3 linked regions of the Arabidopsis thaliana genome follow. The protein of the gene in region 2 interacts with the protein of the main gene of each other region in a pairwise test. Each region holds a gene or a part of one and is shown on either strand. Other genes may lie near its edges. The genes, in order: UBC10, MUB2 and UBC28.

Evidence for each region.
Region 1: the proteins of MUB2 (region 2) and UBC10 interact in a two-hybrid assay, tested with the Arabidopsis thaliana proteins (one study listed by BioGRID).
Region 3: the proteins of MUB2 (region 2) and UBC28 interact in a two-hybrid assay, tested with the Arabidopsis thaliana proteins (one study listed by BioGRID).

The regions. Positions count from the first base shown.
Region 1 is NC_003076.8:21,631,466-21,635,960, forward strand, and holds UBC10 (ubiquitin-conjugating enzyme 10), read right to left. Parts: upstream 2,783-4,495; 5' UTR 2,634-2,782; intron 2,562-2,633; exon of another isoform or gene 2,535-2,561; 5' UTR 2,525-2,534; coding exon 2,455-2,524; intron 2,098-2,454; coding exon 1,970-2,097; intron 1,854-1,969; coding exon 1,749-1,853; coding exon of another isoform or gene 1,722-1,748; exon of another isoform or gene 1,481-1,721; coding exon 1,337-1,480; 3' UTR 1,102-1,336; exon of another isoform or gene 983-1,101; intron 582-982; 3' UTR 556-581; downstream 1-555. Other genes in the region: AT5G53310 (myosin heavy chain-like protein), read left to right, coding at 3,192-3,414, 3,627-3,945, 4,450-4,495. UniProt on the Arabidopsis thaliana protein: Accepts the ubiquitin from the E1 complex and catalyzes its covalent attachment to other proteins. Mediates the selective degradation of short-lived and abnormal proteins.
Region 2 is NC_003076.8:5,018,081-5,022,938, forward strand, and holds MUB2 (membrane-anchored ubiquitin-fold protein 2), read right to left. Parts: upstream 2,847-4,858; 5' UTR 2,490-2,846; exon of another isoform or gene 2,154-2,489; 5' UTR 2,026-2,153; coding exon 1,893-2,025; intron 1,691-1,892; exon of another isoform or gene 1,416-1,690; coding exon of another isoform or gene 1,361-1,415; intron 1,229-1,360; coding exon 1,064-1,228; intron 944-1,063; coding exon 867-943; 3' UTR 600-866; downstream 1-599. Other genes in the region: CLPB3 (casein lytic proteinase B3), read right to left, coding at 1-175; GAUT14 (galacturonosyltransferase 14), read right to left, coding at 3,353-3,634, 3,732-4,034, 4,123-4,713. UniProt on the Arabidopsis thaliana protein: May serve as docking site to facilitate the association of other proteins to the plasma membrane.
Region 3 is NC_003070.9:23,831,552-23,836,076, forward strand, and holds UBC28 (ubiquitin-conjugating enzyme 28), read left to right. Parts: upstream 1-1,999; 5' UTR 2,000-2,120; intron 2,121-2,198; 5' UTR 2,199-2,240; coding exon 2,241-2,310; intron 2,311-2,925; coding exon 2,926-3,051; intron 3,052-3,140; coding exon 3,141-3,268; intron 3,269-3,334; coding exon 3,335-3,439; intron 3,440-3,525; coding exon 3,526-3,669; 3' UTR 3,670-3,985; downstream 3,986-4,525. Other genes in the region: AT1G64210 (Leucine-rich repeat protein kinase family protein), read left to right, coding at 1-658, 726-1,312; TOM7-2 (translocase of outer membrane 7 kDa subunit 2), read right to left, coding at 1,537-1,770. UniProt on the Arabidopsis thaliana protein: Accepts the ubiquitin from the E1 complex and catalyzes its covalent attachment to other proteins.

The sequences.
Region 1 (4,495 bases), about 17 Mb from region 2:
ATTTTAACATTTTGGAATATGGAACACCTATCTTAACTAAACCAAAAAACATGGAACACTGATTTTTATTTTATTTCTTTCAGTCGACACCAATTGTTTGAATTTTGCGTTTGAATGTCTAGAGTTCTTAGCCTACAAGTTTCATGGATATCTAAATCAAACCTATAGTCCCTATGATTTCTTATTTTGTTAAACTTAAAGCAGATGTTTAATTTGGTCTTTTGCTCTTAACTAGAGTAAGTTTTGCCTGTTGGTTATCATTTCTAAGTTCAAACTGATACTCTTCTAATACACTGATCCGTGGGATAATGATAAATTTTGAAAAAAAGATAGTAACATACTGTATTTTCTTATAGAGAAGAGAAATTCAAAAATATTCTAATAGCACAACACTATTAAATGTATTTTTCTCTTACCTGTGGACTTGTAAAGATAATTTGTTAGGGGTGATACTTTAAGCTCGGACGAGCGATGGATCTTTGGTCCATCGAAGCCCATCTACATAACTTGAGTTCAGTCCATACCCATTCATCTATAGATTATCTGTAGTATTAGATTCTATACCACTCTTTTTTTTTTTTCTGTTGATTCTATACCACTCACATTCCACATAATCAGGCTATTTATTATTTTATTAAATACTGTATTGTCAAATAATTTGACTTCACCAAATAACATGTTTTCGTCAAACTCATGATATGATGGATGATACGAATAAGAAAACTGTTATAACTTATAAACAAAATAGGGTGTTTAGTGGTTTTGTACTAGTGAATCATTGCTGAGTTACTACTTGAGTTCAAACATGCATAATACATGTCGTTTAATGGATATAGGATTGTTTGTGATATTATTGCATACTTAAAATGTTTGTTGCATCACGTATGTAGTCCACAATCCACAGGCGCACCTTGCAAGGTACAAAACTCATTTTCTACAACATACGTGCTACAACAGAACGCATTGTCACCATGACGGGCATTGGCCACAACGATTAACTCAGAGTAAATTTGAAGACCAGTTGGATAAGTTTGAAGACCAGTTGGATAAGTTTGAAGACTAGTTTGATAAATTTGAACAACTCGTAGCAACTCATCACACAACGAAAACATCAAATCATAATTTCACCACAAGAAGAAACAACAGAAGATGATCAGATTCTAGTTTTCACAAAGATGATGTTTTTTTTTGTTTCGTTTAAAACAAGACCCACTTCATTTGGTCCTGTCTTCAGAAAGTTAAAAGGACACAAAGAGATGTCTATCGAATCATACATAGAAATTAAGGCAGATTTTTTTCTTCATAAAGAGATAATTTAGTAGGTGGGATTTTCCATTTAGCCCATGGCATACTTCTGAGTCCAGCTTCGTGCAGTGGACTCGTACTTGTTCTTGTCAGTCTTGTACATGTGAGCTATCTCGGGCACCAAAGGATCATCCGGGTTTGGATCGGTTAACAAAGAACAGATCGATAGCAGCACCTGTTAATTGCAAAGCAGTTGTTAGAACTGATCGATAACAAACAACAATTTTTCATCCTCAATGAGTCTAATAAGCTTAATGTTTCAGAGACAACCGAAATGAGTCAAAGTTTAATGAAGACAGCTCAATCTTATCACTTCAACTAGGGATTAAGGAGCAAAAGCATGTTTGATAAGAGTAGATTACTGCCTCTGAAGCAGTTTTAATAGAGAGTATTTGTTTTAAGGTGGGTTTCTATTGTTAACAAAAGAATAAGAGAAACCGAACCTTGGAAATGGTGAGCGCAGGACTCCACTGCTCCTTCAAGATGTCGAGGCAAATGCTACCGTTGCTGTTAATGTTGGGATGGAACACCTTGGTCCTAAAGGCCACCTAGATATCATCACACACACCATAATGAAGAACAATGAGATAATGAAGCAACCATAAAGAACATACGAGCTTTGGCAAAACATACTTGATAACAATTCTCAAAATATTGGAATCACCTTAGGAGGCTTGAATGGGTAATCCGGAGGGAAATGGATGGTTACAAGGAAAACACCTCCAGCATAAGGACTCTCTGAAGGACCCATTATCGTTGCCTGCCAGTGAAACATGTCTTCAGCAACAGGACCTGTACACAGAAAGATAAACTCAATCTCACACCACATAAGCACAAGGAAACAAAGAGACAGTTTTTTCTTCACAAGTATAACCAGACCCCAGAAACTAAGACAATGAAACGAGTTTTAAGCCTTTATAAGATCTTCACCAGAGAAATCAGAAACGAGATAAACCAAATTTAGTTCTAGCCAGATCTTAAAAAGTAAAACGAGTACTTAGCTCGAGATCGGTACCAAACAACACATAAACACACAAATCCAAACAAATCCAAGCATAAGCGAACAAAAAAACCGGATCTATCAACACCAGCTCAGGGAAACAAAACTTTTTAAGATGAAATCTCAAAATCCAAACACGAAACAAGTACCTGCGCTACATGATGTAGGTGGATCCTTCTGGAGATCCTTCAATTCCTTCAAGATCCGCTTCGACGCCATATCCAAAAACCTAAAAATCAAAAATCAAACAAAGATTCTAAACGAATCAGAGAAGCTATAAATCCGTGAGAAATATAAGTAATAGATCCAAAAGCTACAGAGACAATACCTTTGATTTTTCGCGTAATCGGATTGGCGAGGTTTTCGCCTTTTTCTTCTCGTATTAGAGAGAAGAAGAACCAAGACTTAGGGGAAAGGAAGAAAATAGAGATGGTGGTGGACGAAAGACGAAGAATACGAATTATTCTCTGTGCTCACGTCTACAATAAATACCGTGTGGATTATTTACTTTCTTTGACTAGTGGACTCTACTTTTAACCCTCTTATTATTCGGTGGACCTTGAAACGACGCGGCGCTTCTTAATTAAAACATCAAGTTGCATTGAAACGACATCGTCTTAAAAAGTCATCTAATCTAACGGTTGATATCCTATCCTTAAATCAAGTGGTATTGAAATCTAACGGCTGCGAGTTTATTATAAATTTCAAATCAAGTGGCATCGAAACGCGTTGCGATGAAGTCATATAATCTAACGGCTGAGATTTGTATCTTTTAATCGATCGAATCATTTGAAGCCACGTCTTCTCTCTCACTTTGGAGATTTTTCTAACGCAGAATCTGAGAATAAGCTAACCGATTCCGATTTCGAGTTCGTCGCCGGGAGGAATGAACCGGTTGAAGGAGCAAAAGGGGCCGAAGTTCGACGGCGAAGAATCACCTCCACCTGATTTTGATGAAGATCGAAGTGTGGGTGAGGTAGACGGAGGAGATCACACGCCATTCGCTGGAGGTAAAGTCAGAAGGAAAGCGTCTCGCTATAGAGAGCATCGTGGTGACTATCTTCACGTTTCTTCTCGTCCTGGATTGATGCGAATTCTGGAGAAACAAGGTTAGGTTTCTCCAAACTTTTGGTTTTTATTTGATGAATTTGAGATTGAGAGGCAATTTGTGAATCGAAGAACTTGGAGGAATAGTTGAATCAGCTGTAGAATTGTGGCATCGATTTATAGTTTCTTATGTGGTTGTTTGGATTGCTAATGATTGGATTCACCTTGAATTGCATGTGTTTGATGTTGAGAAGGTGATTCATTGTTGTTATAGGTGATACATCGATTCTTTTTGCTGATAAAGTTTTGAAGTTCACCGGCTCGGGGAAGATGAAACGGCGTATTTTTATCCTCACTGATTTTGCGATCTATCTAATTGATCCCGAGACTGAAGCTATGACCAGGAGAATTGCTTTGTCATCAGTAGAGAAGATGTGTTTAAGCAAATTGAGTGATAACTTCTTCGCTATCATTATTCCCACGGAATATGATCTCTTCATGGCCAGCACTAGGAAGACTGAGCTTGTTCAGGTCATGGTAGATGTCACTAAAAGTGCTTCTGACTATGAACTTGAAGTGCTTCTCTCTAACAGGTAACTATGACCGCAATTTTTGGTTTTTGATGTCTCCTCTTTGAATGCTAATACCATGCACATGAGAATTGTTTATTTTCATCTCATTTCCTGATATTGACACTACAGGTATTGTGTTACTGAGAACTGATGTGGGTCTTTTTAGTCTCTGAAACTTAGTGAGCTCTGTTTCTTAAGTGACTTGGCTATTAGTTAGTGGTGAGACCAGAGGATCCACTTGTACCTATTAATCATATCTATATTTATGGAAGAAGATAAAGAATTAACACTTTTAGGAGATAACTACTGAAATTAGTACGTTGAGATACAAATGGTTACAACTATATTTTAAATACTGTTAGATGACATATTCTAGTTTTGATTGAAACTGTTCTCAAATGGCAATCACGATAATAGTCCGTAGAAACATTTTGTATATCTCCCATATCGTAAAACTCAGCTATTGGTTTATATGTGCAGTTTGTGTTTTATACTGATAATGGTTTCTCCTTGTGTTCATTCCAGATTTGAGTACAATGCATCTGCCTCATTAGTAAAGGAAGTTTCTTTT
Region 2 (4,858 bases):
GCCGCCGTGTGAGCCTCGCGCTCTGCTTTAATTTGAGAGATTTGAAGGAACTAGGCTTCGCCGGAAAAGCCGCAGAAGGTTGAAGATGAGAAAACGAATAAATCCTTCGAGTCTCCGTTCCTACACTGACTACACCACTAAACGCCGCCGTAGCAGTCGTCGTAGCCGTCGCCATTAGCTCGGAAATTTAAGAACAGCAAGCAATTGAAAAAGGAAGATCAAATACAACAGGTAGTTTAGCACAAATCCACCAAAACGGCGAGATGTTTACTTAAGAAATCAGCAAAGAGAAACGCTTTTGCTTTCTCGTGTAGTTTTAGCGAGAACCAAGAGAAAAGGTGAAGTAGAAAACTAATAAAGAAGAAGAAGAAGTTGCTAAACGACGCCGGAGTCTTCGTGAACCATCGGGATGTACTTACTACTGAGACCTTCTTCTGACACGTGTTCACTCTCAGAAAACTTAGGATTTTTCGAAGTAGAATTAATATGAACCGTCCAAAAATATAGCAGAAAATAATAATTAATATATAGTTTCCCGAATTTTGGGCCGTTGATAACGAGATTGGCCCACTACGACTGTTAACAGAAACCAAACATTGTTAACCACGGAAATTATGTCAAGTTATATTTCGTGATGATTCACTTTATTCCGTGCAAATTTGTTTGTTACCTAATAATTTCCACGGTGTTGCGAATCCGAAATACAATAGAAACCAAACCTCAAGCGATCAAAAAGCCAATCATGTCATGTCATGTCAGAAAAAAGAATTACAAGGAACAAGAGCAAAAGGTATTGAAGAAGGCTCAAGAACAGAATGTGAATCTCCCAAGCTTTTTTAACTCTCTCTACTTGTCTTGCACAATTGTTAACAACGAGCTCCAAAACATAAACAGACACATTTGTTCTGTTTCAGATCACCTTTAGGCTTCTTCTTCTTCTTTTCTGTTTTAAACCATTAGCAAAGCAAATGATCTTCAGATTCTCATACAAATGCATAACCTTAACAGATGAGGTTTTCAAACAGTATATACTATGAACAATGCTTAAGAATCTAAAGATTACCTTTTTCAGTAACTTGATGTTGAATTATAACATGCATTGTGGTGACAGCACCTGAGAAATTGCCGACGGGACTCCTGCAATCTCCAACCGTTTTGTTGTTCTCCAATATTCTACCCGCGCTTATCAGTTTAACATCTTTCACTGTCTTTGGCCCGTTCTCCTTATCTGCTCACATTCATACAAACAAGCAAAACCATAAAGGGTTAATCAATTTCATATCTTTCAGTGTCTTTGCCACATTCTCCTTAGCTGCTCAAAATTATACAAACAAGCAAAACCATAACACCAATGACTCACAATCAGGTTTTGATATTATCACAGATATAGGCGAAAAACCAATGCAGGTCCTCATGGAGAAGCGAGAAGGCGTTCTTGTTAAGTCCAGTGCAGTGCAGGACTAATGTAACTAGCCTAGGGGTGATGCAGGGAAGTGTAGCTTTGCCAGCTCAGTAATAGACCTCATCGGTTAGTTGAGAGCTGAAGGTTTAAGAAGCTGATTGGTCTAGATAATTTGGGGGCATTGGGGAGAAAGAAGAGTTGTACAGAAATTACTCTCTCGTTTGCTCTAATTCTGTTTCAGTCTCTTCTTACGTTTGGTCATTGATTTATCTTTGTAACCAGTTTCTCAAGGATCAATAAAGAGGGCAATGAGTTTCTGAACCTAACAAAAGGCTAAATATGAAAGTTTCTTTACAATGCAATTCTAAAGTCTAAACCATTCTAGTCATGGAGAAATCGCCAGACCGATAAAGCTTAACGCGGCTTTATCTCATTGCATAAATGAATATCATCAATACATGTAAAGCAGAGTAAGAGCATAGACACTGACCTCTTGGCCACTGAGCAACAACGGTTTCTTTCAATGTAGCAACGGTAGTAGCATCAGGAAACAATTTAGGACCGATATCAGAACCATCGTTAAGCCGGAACTTAATCTCTAATTGATCCTTCACCTCTGCCATATATCTCTCTAAAGGAATGACCTAACAAGAACTCAAAACGAGACAGTGTATCAAGAAGTTCAACCGAAGCAACCGAGATTTGAGCTTTAAAAAACTCTAAATTGAAACCTCGTTTGCTTTGATCCTATCTGCAATAAATCAAAAACAAGGAACCAATTGTTTCACACAAGAACAAATTCTCAAGCAGCTACAAAAACATGTTTTCTCTAGCTCAAGTCTCAATGTGAACCCTAATGAAACTTATGGATTGGTAGATGATCCTGAATGGTGAAAATGAATATAAGAAACGCATTGATCAAATAATATGAATCCTAAGAATAGCAAAGATCATTCCTTGAAAATATGATCGATCATGAATCGTATTATCTCCGAAAGGAACAACAAAAGTACCAATGGAACTCAATCTGGTATTAGATTAACCGATGGAACACGAACAAAAAGAAACCCTAATTAGGTGTTCTTACTTGGGTCCGCTACTGATCTGAGTTTGATGAGGAATCAGAGAAGGATCTTCGAAACCTCACATCACAGAGGAGAGAAGAAAGAGAGAATGATTAAGAGAGATCTCACTCATAAGGTTTGAGAATAAATTGCAGCCAAAATGTTCCCCAAATCCTTTTTATGTCCTTGTTCTTCTTCTTCTTCTTCCCATCTCTACGCCAATTAAAATGCTCTACCTTTTAAATTCCTTTTAAAAATAATAATTATATTACCAAATGCTCTCTGTACATTGATATGATCTCATTTTTATTTGTACATTCAAAAGCTATTGGAGATTTTTGTTTGTTTGGTTAATCATCAACGATCTTTGTAGAGATTACATTCAAAATCACAGCTCGAAAAGATTAGGAACTGAAATGATGATATTAATAAGAAATGTGGAGCAAATAGCAACAAAACAAGTGTATAAGTGTGTTCCTCAATTTATCAACAACTGGCTTTTCTGGTCATAACCTCTCCCTCTCTCTCTTAATAACCAAAAAAGAATTATAAACCCAATCTTTCTTTCCCCATTCTTATAAAAAGATTCAAGAATTGGATTCTCCAAAAGAATTTCAAAAAAAGGGTAACCTTCTATTTTACAGAAAGAATGAATCTTTATCTCTCTCTCTCTCTTTCTCTTATGCAACCTTCCCTTCGCTGCAACCAAGTTTCTCTTATGTATGTGGCAAACTAAATTTCTGATTCTTCCTTCTTTAGACTGAGTGTAATATCTGCAGACTGCCTTGTCTTTTTTACTACTTCTCCTCTTTTACACCTGTAACTACCTTCATGATCATACACCTGTAACTCTTACCTTCATGATCATCTCAAAGTTTCGGTTTTCCTACTCCAATATGTGACAGTTCTTGATGAAATCATTTGAGTAGTTGACGTATTTGGTCCAGAATGGCCGCAGATGCTCGAAACCAATCTCCAGCCATGGCTTTGACTGCCCATTGTAGTGGATCACTGCTGCTTTCTTCACATTTTCTATGTTGGTCTTGCTCTGGTAGCCTAATCCTAGCATATGCCATGACGAGTCTATTATGTGTACGTGACCCTTGAACGCGATAAGAGCAGGAGGCAAGGTTCCAAGTTTCCACATTGTCAGATTTGACTTTAGATTCTGTTCCAAAGCAAAAGTAAACAGAGTAGATTAGAGAGGTAACTTTAGATTCTGCTAAAGAAAAACAAAAAAGTGTAAGCTTATTCGATAGAGTTACCTCTCTAAGCCAAGAGTGATACGTTTCTCTGATATTTGTTTTCCTCCAAGCTTGTAGATCGAAGATATTCATACCATATGCCCAAGCACATTCTTCAGGATCTAAATGCTTTGCGATGAGCGGGTGAGAGAAATTGAAGTAGTTCCTTAAACGCTTTGACATCACCCATTCATCTTCACCCCTGCAAGTCTCTACTGCCCCATTGACCTTACCACCGAGGTCAACATCCCAAAGTGGAGTTAAGTCTCCCTGGACAACTATATCATCGTCTAAGAAAACCACCTTGTCCAAGTTCGGGAAAAGCTATTCCAAAAAAAGAGACGAAATTGGCAAATGATTTAGAATCCCCATGAGTTCTATTGCAAGTTCAAACTAGGGGATAAAGATTTACCTCTGGTATATATATTCTAAGATGGTTGAGCAAAGATATGTATTTTGGACTTCTAGACTGCAATTTTGAAGCAAATGTTCGAGGAGTTGTTTCGGTGAGGTTTGCCCCAGCGACATGATTCCCATGATAATAGTCCCTGACACCATTATGGCTTTCCACAGCTTCCAAAACCGGAACATTCTCTCTCGTCAACCAGTCAAACTGATGAACACCTTTAACCTCAACAATTGCTGGTGCAACAGAATTAAGCGCAAACCATGAATGCATACCCGCATAGGTTTTCTTGTCTGTAATGATGTGAAAGACAATTTTCTCGGGTTTTGAAGATGACTGAACAGCGGATGAGACCACAACTGAGGCAGCCAAAATATTGTCCGTGGACAAAATAAAGTGGTGGTAAGCATTATCTGAAAGAACAGGGAGAAACTCTGGTGAAGGAAGCTGTCTTCGAGCATGAGCATTGGAGGAATATTCATCTGTCAGTCTTAGAGAGAGACAATGAATGCCTTTGGGAATGGAACTTGCTGCAAAGTGCTTGTTCATAAGTTCTGCAAATTTCGATTCCCTCATATCACGTTCAAACTTCTCCATCTGTTCAAGACAAGATAGAGATATATCACATATGATAATCTTCCCATTGATATGGCTCACTTTAGAGAGCAACAAGAATTAACAAAGATCTCTTCCAAATGCAAATAAAAAAGAAAAGAAACCAACTTGACAATTGCAAGAGCCA
Region 3 (4,525 bases), on a different chromosome or scaffold from region 2:
GGGGAAATTCCAAATCTTCATCTTCCAAAACTGAGTCAGATCAACTTGTCCAACAACAAGCTCATCGGTACAATACCAAAGTCTCTTCAAAGATTCCAAAGTTCAGCTTTTTCTGGCAACAACCTTACCGAGAGGAAGAAACAACGCAAGACTCCTTTCGGGTTAAGCCAACTTGCTTTCTTGCTGATTCTGTCTGCAGCTTGCGTTTTGTGTGTTTCCGGATTATCATTCATAATGATCACTTGTTTCGGGAAGACTAGAATCTCCGGGAAGTTGCGAAAGAGAGACTCGTCTTCTCCTCCAGGAAACTGGACATCTAGAGATGATAACACTGAAGAAGGCGGGAAGATCATCTTCTTTGGTGGAAGAAACCACTTATTTGATTTAGATGATTTGCTAAGCTCATCTGCAGAAGTTTTGGGGAAGGGTGCTTTTGGTACAACCTATAAGGTAACAATGGAGGACATGAGCACGGTCGTTGTAAAACGATTGAAGGAAGTTGTCGTTGGAAGACGAGAGTTTGAGCAACAAATGGAGATCATTGGTATGATCAGACATGAAAATGTAGCTGAGCTAAAGGCTTACTACTACTCCAAAGACGATAAGCTCGCGGTTTATAGCTATTACAATCATGGAAGCCTCTTCGAAATACTGCACGGTTAGTTATTTTCATTGCTCTCATTCTGATGATAAATCGAAACTACAAGGTTCCATTTTCTTTGCAGGAAACAGAGGAAGGTATCATCGAGTACCGTTAGATTGGGATGCTAGACTGCGAATAGCAACCGGTGCAGCGAGAGGGCTAGCTAAAATCCACGAAGGGAAGTTCATACATGGAAACATCAAATCCTCAAACATCTTCTTAGACTCACAATGCTATGGCTGCATAGGCGATGTTGGCTTGACGACAATCATGAGATCACTTCCTCAAACCACTTGCCTTACTTCTGGCTACCATGCACCTGAAATAACAGACACAAGAAGAAGCACACAGTTTTCGGATGTATACAGCTTCGGTGTGGTATTACTGGAGCTCTTGACAGGGAAATCACCAGTGAGTCAAGCAGAATTAGTACCAACAGGAGGTGAGAACATGGACTTAGCTAGCTGGATAAGATCTGTGGTGGCTAAAGAGTGGACTGGAGAAGTGTTTGATATGGAGATATTGAGTCAATCAGGTGGTTTCGAGGAGGAGATGGTTGAGATGTTGCAAATAGGATTGGCTTGTGTTGCTCTGAAGCAACAAGAAAGACCTCATATAGCTCAAGTTTTGAAATTGATTGAAGATATTCGATCAGTTGATGCAGAGTGAGACAACACAAACTAGTAGTAGTAACCATTAAAGCAAATTCTTTGTTTCTTCATAGATCATTTGATTTTATTGAATTTGAATCATGCAAAAAAGAATGAGACTTTGAATTATAGAATCAGAAACAAATATAAATCCATTTCATAAAACGAAGAAAACAGAACAAATTTGGGAAAAAAAGTAAAAGCATCTAAGAAGAACATTACGAAGAAGATCCAATTTGTGGATTAAACGGGAGAGAGGAGGTGAAAAAGATGAGGTTTAGGATCTGAGTTCATGCCGATGATGATGATCAGAGGGATGAAACCATAGTGAGTCGCGACTTTGGCTTTCTGTAATGACCAGTTGGTCCAATCCTTGAAGACCTTGTACTTTGATGATGCAGAGGAGGACGAAGATGATGATGATCCCTTTGATGGTTTTGCTTTGCCTTTGATCTTCAACGTACTTTTAGCCGCCATTGATTCTGATCTCAGAACTCTCTCTCTCTCTCTCTGCTTATCTCTGTGTCAGAGTCGATTTAGCTGGAAGACAAAAACCCTAAAGGGTTTAAGCACCTTTTTAAAGCCTCTATGAAACACTCTGTCTAACTCAGAGGGTCCTTTATTTTTTATTAAAAGTATGTTTATCCAATAATGATTCTCTGGCTCGCTGGAAAATAGCTGTCATTATTTATATTTGAAGCATACATAAATAAAATTTCTCTCTCTTTGTTTATTCGTTAGGTCTCAAAGGCTCTCTCTGTCTCTTTCTCAAAAATCATCTGCAGGAAGTGAATCGTCAAAACCGAGTTTGGAGGATCTGTCTTGAGGTAAAAAAGCTCAATCCTTTATCGGAAATTTTCAACCTTTGCTTTTCCTTTGTTTGTTGCGTTGCTGAATCTATCTAGGGTTTGGTTTTTTGGATCTAGGAGTTTTTTTTTGGTTGAGAAATGGCTTCGAAAAGGATCTTGAAAGAGCTCAAGGATCTCCAGAAGGATCCTCCAACTTCCTGCAGTGCTGGTTAGTCTTTACCTCTCCTCTCGTAAATCGTGTCTGATCTATTTTTGAGCTTTGTTGTTAGATCTTATAATCTTATCTTTAAGCAAACAAAAAAATGAAATCTTTTTTAGTCTTCGTAATTTTATAACGAAGTTATCTAGAGATCTTGAGGTGGTAATTGCCGCTAAGTTATGATCTTAGTTTAGAAGATACCAATTGAAAGTTGAGATTTTTCTTAGAACAGAACAAATTTATGGCTGTACTGATCCTTGATTGAAAATTACAGCTTTCTAATAATCATAGTCTAGAAGATAGCTGTTAAAAATTGGGATCCATTTACCCATCCTGGATACTATTGATCATAATTAATAAGATAACAGTTGGAAGTTGAGATTTTTCTTAGAACAAAGTTGAGATTGGTCGTTGCAGTTATCTTATGATCATAGTCTAGGAAATAGCTATTGAAAGTTGTGAATTTTCTTAGAATTAAGCTTTTGGTGTTGTATGCTGCCTTGTTTATCCAAGTATCCATAACGGATCTTACAGACTTGATACCTCGCACTGATAGTCTTTCTTAGTTATCTATTGCATTCAGGTTTATACATGTTTGTTTTGTTTATTAAAATATATGATAAGTGGATAATGCGTCGAAATTGTTGGTCTTAATAGAGTTAGAGGATTGTTGTCGGAGATTCTCAAACTGTTCATGCATTCTTCTGCTAGAGAAGTCTCAGGACATTGCTATGGCACATGTTTTGTTGTGTGTATTTCAGTAAATGCCATAGATCATCATGTTTAAAAGACTAATCTTTCTATTTTTTCCTTCTATGAACAATTGTGAAATCTTCAAGGCCCAGTTGCTGAAGACATGTTTCATTGGCAAGCTACAATAATGGGTCCATCTGATAGTCCTTATTCAGGCGGTGTCTTTCTCGTAACCATTCACTTCCCTCCGGATTATCCTTTCAAACCACCAAAGGTAAATTATTCATTGTTACCAAACTGAAATCATGAACTGGAATTCAAAATGCTCTTTTTCTTGCAGGTTGCATTCAGGACAAAAGTGTTCCACCCTAATGTCAACAGCAATGGAAGCATTTGCCTTGACATTTTGAAAGAACAATGGAGTCCTGCACTCACCATATCGAAGGTGAAAAAGCACTCTTTAACCAATAGCAGTGGATGATATATAATGAATCTCCTCTTATTTTAATCAAATCTCTTGTGAATTTATAGGTTTTGCTTTCGATATGTTCATTGTTAACGGACCCAAACCCAGATGATCCATTGGTTCCAGAGATTGCTCACATGTACAAAACCGATAGAGCAAAGTATGAGTCTACTGCGAGAAGCTGGACTCAGAAATATGCAATGGGATGAAAGTTTGTGTCCTTTGATCCCTCACAGACTCGGTTTTAATAGAGAGAGAGAGAGAAAGAGAGAGGACTTCTTCACATAGGGATCTTCCATGAAATAAGTTAGATTCCTATGTTTTATCATCTCTTTGTTTGAAACCTCTTTAATCTCAAACAAAAACATTACTTCACCTCTTTATTATCCATATGTTCCCTATCTTTGTTTCTATGCTTTTTCCAAAAAATTATAAGAAAAATTATTTATGTAAAGCTGGAAACTTTGAGCTTTTACCTAACAAAGTATGACGATGATTAAATGGGAACATTTGACATTTGCTACCAAATTTTCAAAATTCCGTGTTTGAGAAAATATTGAAATAAAACCATTTTTGCAGAAAAATAAAATAAAAATTGCATGATTTTGAAGATGTTGATTAACATATTAATTCGAAATTTACCCTTGTATGAAATGCAAAGTGATAAATTTACCCTACAGAAAATTTTCTCCACCTTTATCATTTCCCTTGCTTGTAAGGGATCAATGATTCCATATGTGCATTAATTTAAAAATACCTCAAATCAAAGAATAAAGGTACACTTTATCTACCATTGAATTAAGTTACCTCATTATGAAATGGAAAGCGAAATCAAAAGGCATATTATTACGAAACAATAAACTGTAGATTTATTGGTTAGCTAGATCATCCAACTTTTCATTCAATCTGAATTTTCATTTAATTTATGATGATTTGAATGTAAAATCTGTAAATCATGGTGTATTATTATTAACCAATGAAATATTCTAAATACTGAAAATAATTCATGTAGTGATTTAGCCAATCATTTAGGCTATATTTAGTTATTTACATAGCAACTAATTA